2 linked regions of the Canis lupus familiaris genome follow. The protein of the gene in region 1 interacts with the protein of each later gene in a biochemical or structural test. Links are inferred from orthologs where the notes say so. Each region holds a gene or a part of one and is shown in the gene's direction. Other genes may lie near its edges.

What was found.
Region 2: the proteins of SNTG1 (region 1) and PLEKHA1 form a complex in vitro, tested with the Homo sapiens proteins (2 studies listed by BioGRID and IntAct, with this or other methods). The link is inferred for Canis lupus familiaris from reciprocal best matches to the Homo sapiens genes SNTG1 and PLEKHA1.

What each region holds. Positions count from the first base shown.
Region 1 is NC_049250.1:2,296,853-2,301,131, forward strand, and holds the start of SNTG1 (gamma-1-syntrophin), read left to right. Parts: upstream 1-1,194; 5' UTR 1,195-1,462; intron 1,463-1,867; 5' UTR 1,868-2,652; intron 2,653-4,279. UniProt on the Homo sapiens protein: Adapter protein that binds to and probably organizes the subcellular localization of a variety of proteins. May link various receptors to the actin cytoskeleton and the dystrophin glycoprotein complex.
Region 2 is NC_049249.1:32,367,993-32,371,809, forward strand, and holds part of PLEKHA1 (pleckstrin homology domain-containing family A member 1), read left to right. Parts: intron 1-322; coding exon 323-387; intron 388-1,018; coding exon 1,019-1,082; intron 1,083-2,704; coding exon 2,705-2,794; intron 2,795-3,817. UniProt on the Homo sapiens protein: Binds specifically to phosphatidylinositol 3,4-diphosphate (PtdIns3,4P2), but not to other phosphoinositides. May recruit other proteins to the plasma membrane.

The sequences.
Region 1 (4,279 bases):
GAGCTCCAGCGCGAGCCCCAGCCCGAGCCCCAGCCCCAGCCCCAGCCCCAGCCCGAGCCCCGGCCCCAGCCCCGGCCCCAGCCCCAGCTCGAGCCCAGGCCCCAGCCCCAGCCCCAGCCCCGGCCCCAGCCCCAGCCTCAGCCCGAGCCCCAGCCCCAGCCCGAGCCCCGGCCCCAGCCCCAGCCCCGGCCCCAGCCCCAGCTCGAGCCCAGGCCCCGGCCCCAGCCCCAGCCCCAGCCCCAGCCCCAGCCCCAGCCCGAGCCCCGGCCCGAGCCCCAGCCCGAGTAGCCCCGGGGAAGGACGGTAGCGCTGCGCAGCCAAACAGTGCAAGTCCAACGAAACCACGGACTTTTCGTGTGAATAAACAGCCTGTCAGTCTGCTTTTCATTCCCAAGTGGTCCCCGATCCAACGCGTTTCCGCTCCCGAGGAACAACTCGGGGTCCTCCGCCGCTGCTGGGGCCTCCCGCGCCCGCCGCCCGCAGGGCCTAGGAGAGCGCGTCGGCTCGGCCGGCGAGGACCGCTGCAGACCCACCAGCTAATCCGAAATGCAAGCGCAGGAGGAAGACGCAGCGGTTACGACTTCCCGGGTGCTGCCAGAATCGGAGCAAAAGGGTTCAAGGAAGGGAGGCCGGGGACGGGCGACAGCCCCTCTCCCACCTCCCTAGAGAATATAGTGTTTCGCTCCGCCCCCCCCCCCCCCCCCCCCCCAGTAATTCTTCCCCTAATTTCCTCCCAAGTCTACCAACAGCCTCCTGGCGCTGAAATCTTCACTGCATTAAGGCCAGAGCCTGAAGGGGGGGGGGGGGGGGGGGCTGTGTTGCACTACATCCTCCCTCTTCCAGGGTCCCCGTGGATGAGATTTGGATCAGTTTTCCAACAGTTTCAACGTTCTGTATTCAGTCCCCCAGCCCACAGCACTCGCATCTGCACGCGGTGCTCAGTGCGGGTGGCGAAGCCCCCGGTGACCGCCCCGGGGACCACCCACGCAGACCCTTCCTTATGCTTGTCATCAGCCGGTTGTTAACAGCGGGTAGAACGGGCAGGGGCGGGGGCACTGTGCAGAGCGAGAGCGGAGGGCCTGGAAGGCCTGGGGACGCCGGACCAGAGAGGCTGGGGGGCGGCGGGGGCGGCGGAGGGGAAATGCGCTGAAAACCCAGGCAACAGCCCGGCGGGGTGGGCATTGTTCCGGCCCGAAAGGGCGGAGATGGTCGAGCCCGCCCGCTGACTTTGTGCATCTCTTACTCTATCCTTTGTGGAATCAGCCTCTTCCCGCTCCCCTGCCGGAGCCCGGGCCGTGGGCGGCTCTCGAGCACTGCCCTGGGAATGCAACCCCCGCGGCTCGCGACTCGCCACCCGGTTTCTCCAGGCTGCGGGAGCACTGACGCTCGCGCGCGCCGCGTCCGGCTGATCCTCTTAGCTGCTCTGCAACGATTCCGAGCCAGTTCAGCAGCGTTTTAGAAGGTAGCAAAGACGAGATGCTTTTTCTTTCCTTTTTCTTTTTCTTCCCCCCTACCCCCCGCCCCGTCCTCTCGTTTTATTTATTTATTTTAAACTAACCCGTCATTTCTTCTTGGAGGGTCCAAGAAGAGCCCACGACCTCTTTACTGTGTCTAACCCAGGGATTTCAAACGGGGCTTTTCAGAATTTAAGTGTGGTCGCCCTAATTGGTAATCAAGATTGTGGAGTCGTTCAAAATAACCCTTTCCATTTTCTGTAATTAGAGACCAAAAGAAACTCTGGATTTTCCACGATACATCATCTATATTTATTCATATTCTCTCTCTTCCCCCTCCCTTCCTCCCCCCCCCTCCTCATGCGCGTGTATGCGCGCGCTGGTGCGTGCGTTTCCTTTTATTTCTACATTAGGAAACTCGTTCAGGGATGAACTGAACTGAAAAGTGAGGAGAGGCTCAAATCTGATCTCTAACGGATTCCTTCCTCTAATGTCAGATAATGCCCGGAAACGTTGCCACCAAATAAGTAGGAGAGCATTATTTTTGAAAAGCAGTTAACCCCTACCAAAATATAAAACGCCAGAGGAAAGAAGGTGAGACTGGAAGACAAGGAAGCCCTTTGCGGTCGCTGGTGGAGGAAGCGCGACTCTGGGGACCGGCTGGGTTCCAGTCCGTGTGCTTCAGCACCGGAGGGGATGGACAGCGTCTCCGGCCTGGGCTGCTGCCGCCCGGACACAGCGGAGCTGCCGTCGCCGCCACTGCCGTCGCCGCGGGCATCTGGGCTCCCTGCTCTTCGCAGCTAGAAGGAGGTGCCGCCTGACACCCCTTGCCCCCCCCTCCTTCCTTGATAGACGAAAACCCTCTTTATCCACCTGCTATAGCTACCATACAGGGCTCTGAGGAGTCCTCTTGTTCCACAGATTAAACTCTGAGCAACAACTTCAAGAATAATTCTCCGTAGGGTGTTGGGAGGAATGCAAGCTGGAGAGTGAAGTTGAAGTTCTTAGAGGCTCCGAAAAACCATGGGCTCTGCAGAAGGGGTTGAAATACTCAAAGGCCCACACTTCATGAAATAAACAGAATGCTCACCAGAGGGTTGCAACTATTTTGTAAATAGCCTTGTGAGAAGAGATTTCAGATCTACTCACATCCCCACGTTAGAGAAACTGAACGACTTCTAATTCCTTTACTTGGCTGGTAAGTGATAATACTATTACTTCTATTTATTTACAACTCTAATGACTTTTTAAATAAAGGTTTTAGCAGAAAGATTGCAATGAGTATGATCTTGCCTTGTGGATTAAGGAGTAAATAATTTTATTTTTAAATGATTGTTCCTGCAGCATGATCTTAGGAAACCTCTTGTCTCATAAAATAGGATATTTTACTTCTCTGAAGCCTCTTATGTGACAAGGATATTAAAAATAATGTGTATTACCTTATATGATTATAGTAAACTCTTGGTTGGGTATTTTACTTACTGATGATCTGATATCTTTTTTTGAATTTGTATGTGTCTTTTTTTTTCAAAACTAGTATAATCTGGCATTTTGTAAAAGGGTTTTTTTTTTTCTTATACATGCACTTTAAAGTGATCTTGTCTGTGTTATGTAGTATTCAAGACCCAAAGTTACAAGTAGAGATGGTTTAGCAACCTTTTTTATTATATTTTATATGATTATAATTTGCCAAATCATGTATAAGAACAAACACATGCATACATACACGCTTGATCCTTCTCTCTTCCCCAGACCCTGAGTATACTTACACCTGTAGAATCTTACCTAAAGAAATACACACATGTTTACTTAGCCATAGTCTTTCCAGCCTTTTAAATCTTAAGACTGCTTATTCAAACCAGATCTGCCAGAAGGGAGAAAATGAGAAGCTTTAGAGTCCCTTTTTAGGAGAGCTGGCTTTTGATATCATTCTGACTTCTTCGTTCTACAAGATGCATTTGTTAATGAAATCCAAAAAGCGATAGGCCAATAGGTCCTTGACAAACCATAAACTTTAAAGTGTTAATTAAATCTGTCTTCTGTTGATTCTTACTTCTAGAGTCTTCCCCTGGAGCTTTCAAGTACAATCTTTCACAGTGACCTTGATAAGCATTCTGCTTTAATAAAAAGGGTTCATGGGTAAAGGCAGTTACACAAATTTATAGCGTATGCCTGACATCTCACTAAGAGGTTGATCAATTCCAATGAGAACATTCAATTCAGTGGAAAGTGTTGACTTGGAAGTATGGACTTCTACAGTCATGTAAATATTGGGGATGCTATATGCATGCCTAACACTGTGGAAATAGTTTGTCCCTTTAAAAAATTATAGTTCTTTAGGTTTCCCTTTTAATTTCATAGTTCATATATAACTGATATAAAATGCCTCTAATACATATCCATACCTACACTCCTCAGTTTCAACACAGAAATCAACTGAGGCAGTTAAGATGGTATTTATTGTTTTCCATTGGCTCAGAGTGGCAGTAACCTTCTGAGGAAAAATCATTCTTAGCTGTCACTTACTGCTTACCATGAACCCGCCTGCTTGGGAGAAAGGGATCAGAGGCATCTATGTCATTGAGCTCCTTGAGGGCTATTTTGTCCTATATAGGTCAGAAATGATAATCTGAGAAAGAGAAAATGTATCATTGGTGTGGATTCCTTCCCAAGAGACCTAAAATGTGCTTCTAACACAACCTGATTTTTTTTTCCAATCTGAGAGATGTGGAAGTGAAATTACTACATGGAATGATTAATCATGTTTTAAGAGAATCGCAACATATTGTTCGATTTTTATTGTGGTTTTCAAATAACTGACATAG
Region 2 (3,817 bases), on another chromosome or scaffold:
ACATTCCAGAAGAGGAAGCACTCCACTTACAGGGTACATAGGGGTCTATCGGGGTAAAGTCTGATGGTTTAATGGCTTTTAGTAAGCTACACTGTCATTAAGACCAGAAATAGTGTGAATAAGGGTTCTATGCTAGTTTCCTTGTTTCAAACTACAGTGTTTATAAAGTTCTAGTGTTTGAGCTACTCTGATGCTGGTCGGTTCTGGAAGGTAGATTTAGGTCAAGAAAGAAGCAGTTTTCATACAGATCTCCAAGTAAGACAACTAATTCTTAAAAGGATTTTGAGAATATACCTCATGTATCTGTTTGCTTTTTTGCCAGGAGAAAGAACCCCTCCGTGTAATACCACTTAAAGAGGTTCATAAAGTCCAGGAGTGTAAGCAGAGGTAAGCACCAGCCCTCCCTTAGTGCCTGGAACATCTAATTAATACTCATCGGGGCCTAGGTTTGATTGATGTGTACAGATGATATTTTTCTGTGTTTTTTCTAGTGTTGTTTTCAACTCTTCATTGTTGGGATATGCTTGAACTTACAAAATCCTCAGGTTAAAGTTTTGAGATATTTTTTGTTTCACTTGAAAACTAAAAATTAAGAATCCCTAGGCTTATCAATGGGAAGGAAAGAATTTAATATGAATAATTTGTCATATCTGGCAGACTGATGTTTTACTAGTTTTAATATTTGGAAGCTGCTGAAGAATAGAGCTTTTTGTAAGGACATGTGTTAACTGTGCCAGTGTTTCTTTGAGCAAACTGATTTATGAGCAGTAGAAAACTTTGAATTTGAAACTTCTTTTATGAACCTTTTCTAAAAATATGTATAACTATATAAAATATGTGAAATTTAATGTAAGAATAAATTGAAAAAGATGCTAATTTGGTTTTACTCAATGACACCAGTATTTTATCTCTATTTATTTTCTTATTGACATATATTTGGTACTAGATAAACAAGTGAAAGAAACACTATCCAACAACTGCTATTTACGTGCAATTGGACGTTTGTTTTTGTTGACAGTGACATAATGATGAGGGACAATCTCTTTGAAATTGTAACATCGTCTCGAACTTTCTATGTGCAGGTGAGATACTTTTTTGGCGATTATAGATTCTCCTACCAAGAGATTAATAATTTTAGAAGTGAAATAAATATAAATAAATTTATTGCTTATGCAAATAAGAAAAACATGGCAACTGTAATTCACAACTTTAAAAAAAGCTATATATAAAATTATTGGTAAGTCATATGTTTAGCAAATTAGGGGTACTTTTTGCTCCAAATTGGCACAATAGAAATTAAGTAGTATTTGTGGGAAGGGAAATACTGTTTTAACTTAAACCCCAACTTTCAGTTCGGATCATTTTGCACATATTTTGGAGTTTTGATTGTATCATTTTTGGTAATTAAAAAAATAGGATCTAAAATTCCCACAATAAAAATAGACCATAGATAGACATAGATAGACATTTTGTATTTAAGTTTAAAATACACTTTTTATTTACCACAGCGAATTAGTTAGATTTAAAGGTTTTTTTTTTTTTTTTTTTTTTAGAGGACATTTGTTTTTGCTTTATAAAAGTTACATATGATTATTGCAGAAAATTTGGAAAATAGAAAAAAATATGAAGAAATGACATAAAACCCAAATCCCACATTCAGGAAACTATTCTTATTTTAGTACCTTTTTAAAGGCATATGTTTTTATAACAAGTGGGGTCATATGAAGCACATGGTGATATATTCTAGTTAATGTATTAAATAGTCTTTTTTCCCACATCATTAAAAATCCTGTAAAAACTTTTAGGACTGCATCATGCTCTATTATAGGGATGCTCCATGGTTAAACTGTTTCTCTGCTACTCTGTAACTGATTGTTTTCATAGTTTTTGTACACTTGCTATGATCAGCGTGTGGTGGTGAACAGTTTTGTGTTTAAGTTTGCCTGGATTTCTTCTTTAGGTTAAGTTTCTAGATCAAGAATAACTGTCAGAGCATAAATCTTTTTAAACCCCCTTTTTTGCCAAATTGATTTCTGGATTTGTGCTTTACCTTTGCCTGCTTTGAATTTTTCCTGTTAAAATTCCTTGCTAAAAATCATTGGTTCAAAAGAGTATCTTGTGACTTAAAATTTTGGAACAGAAGTGAAGGGCAGTATGTACACCCCTCTCAGGGCCTGTTTAAGTGGATTTAAAGTCATAGTAAAGTTTTAAATTCATATTGGAAGGCCATGGCCTATCAAGGAATATGATACTTTGGAATATGACTACCAGTACTTTTTTCCGTATTTAGTGGAGTCCTAGAAATGCTGTTTAGAAAAATAATACATAACATGATGTCAAAATGTTTTTTTAACTCTACAGTTAACATTTATACCCTTATAATGGATTCAGACAATATAGCAGTAGATGGAGCAAAATGAGGTTTGTCTGTGACTCCTTCCTCTCATTTTCTCTCAAAAAGTATTCATATTGACACTTTTTGATGTGTCTGGCCTTAAAATATCAGGTGTCCAACTTCTGTCTCTATAATAACGTACCTGCTAAACCTGGCTTAAAAAGCGATTTCTAAAATTTTTTGGCACCATTACCTTGGGATGATCTTGTTGTTGGCACTGTAAGTTTCCAAGATGAATACATTGGATTTATGGATGTAAGAGCGGATTTTGAGGACAAACTGACTGAATGAGTCCTTTCTCTCCCTTAGGCTGATAGTCCTGAGGAGATGCACAGTTGGATTAAAGCCGTCTCTGGTGCCATTGTAGCCCAGCGGGGGCCTGGCCGATCAGCATCTTCTGTATGTTCCCTGTTCTCTGGGGTGGTACTCCTTAAGGCTCCCCCATCCTGTCCCAGTTATTTTCCTTCCTCTCCCCCTAATGCTTCTGGTTTCTTTCTGTATTGAGATTTATTTGCATGTTGACTTTCATACCAATTGGACTTGCAAAAAAATAATGCATTTCTAATTTAATGCTTCCTTGTAGTGTTATGTATACATAACTTTCTGTGCATTGTATTGTCTTAAATGCACAAGCAGGGCAACTAAAGAATGAACATTTCCTTGCTTTGTTTTAGAAGTTCTTACTTGTCACTAGGTCTAGATTTGTTACAACTTGACCAATTCTTAGTACGGGATGTGGCCCAATCCTGTAAAGTGCCTGAAGTTGTAGCATTACACAGTTTGGTGAAGGCCCAGTTTCCTCTTTACTCTAATTTCAGTTAGGGATTTTTTGACTTCCTGGTGCCCTAAGACCATTGAGCAGCTGACCCTGATTTAACACAATTTCATGTTCTCAGCCGCTGTTTTCCATTACATGTTCTCATTCTCATTTTCTGGTAGGGTAATTAAAAACCCGCTGCTTTTCACTACCATAATTATCTTTGTGGTAATATGTTAATAAAATTGAAATGTTAAACGTTCTCAGAAATAATAAAAAATATTTTTAATTTTTAATTTATCATGTTCAAGAACATGATAGGAGTAAGATTTAGCTTTGGAATACTTCAGTCAAAAAAAAAAAAAGGAATACTTTAGTCACTGGCCTCTCATCTGAAAAAACAAATTCTACTGAGGATTAGAAAAAAAATTTTAAGTGTCTTGAAATGTAGCACCTCTGTCTGTGGAATGGAGTCTAACGTGTAGTATGAAAGCCTTGATTGCCTTCTGCAGATTCATTGTAAATGCCAGATATTCCACACTTTTGGTATTTTTTCTGGTAATAATACTGTCTTTAATAGTTTCCTGGTAATGATAACTACAGATCAGTAAATACAAATCTATGTTTCTTAAATTATTCTCCTTATATCCGTTTTGGAATCTCTT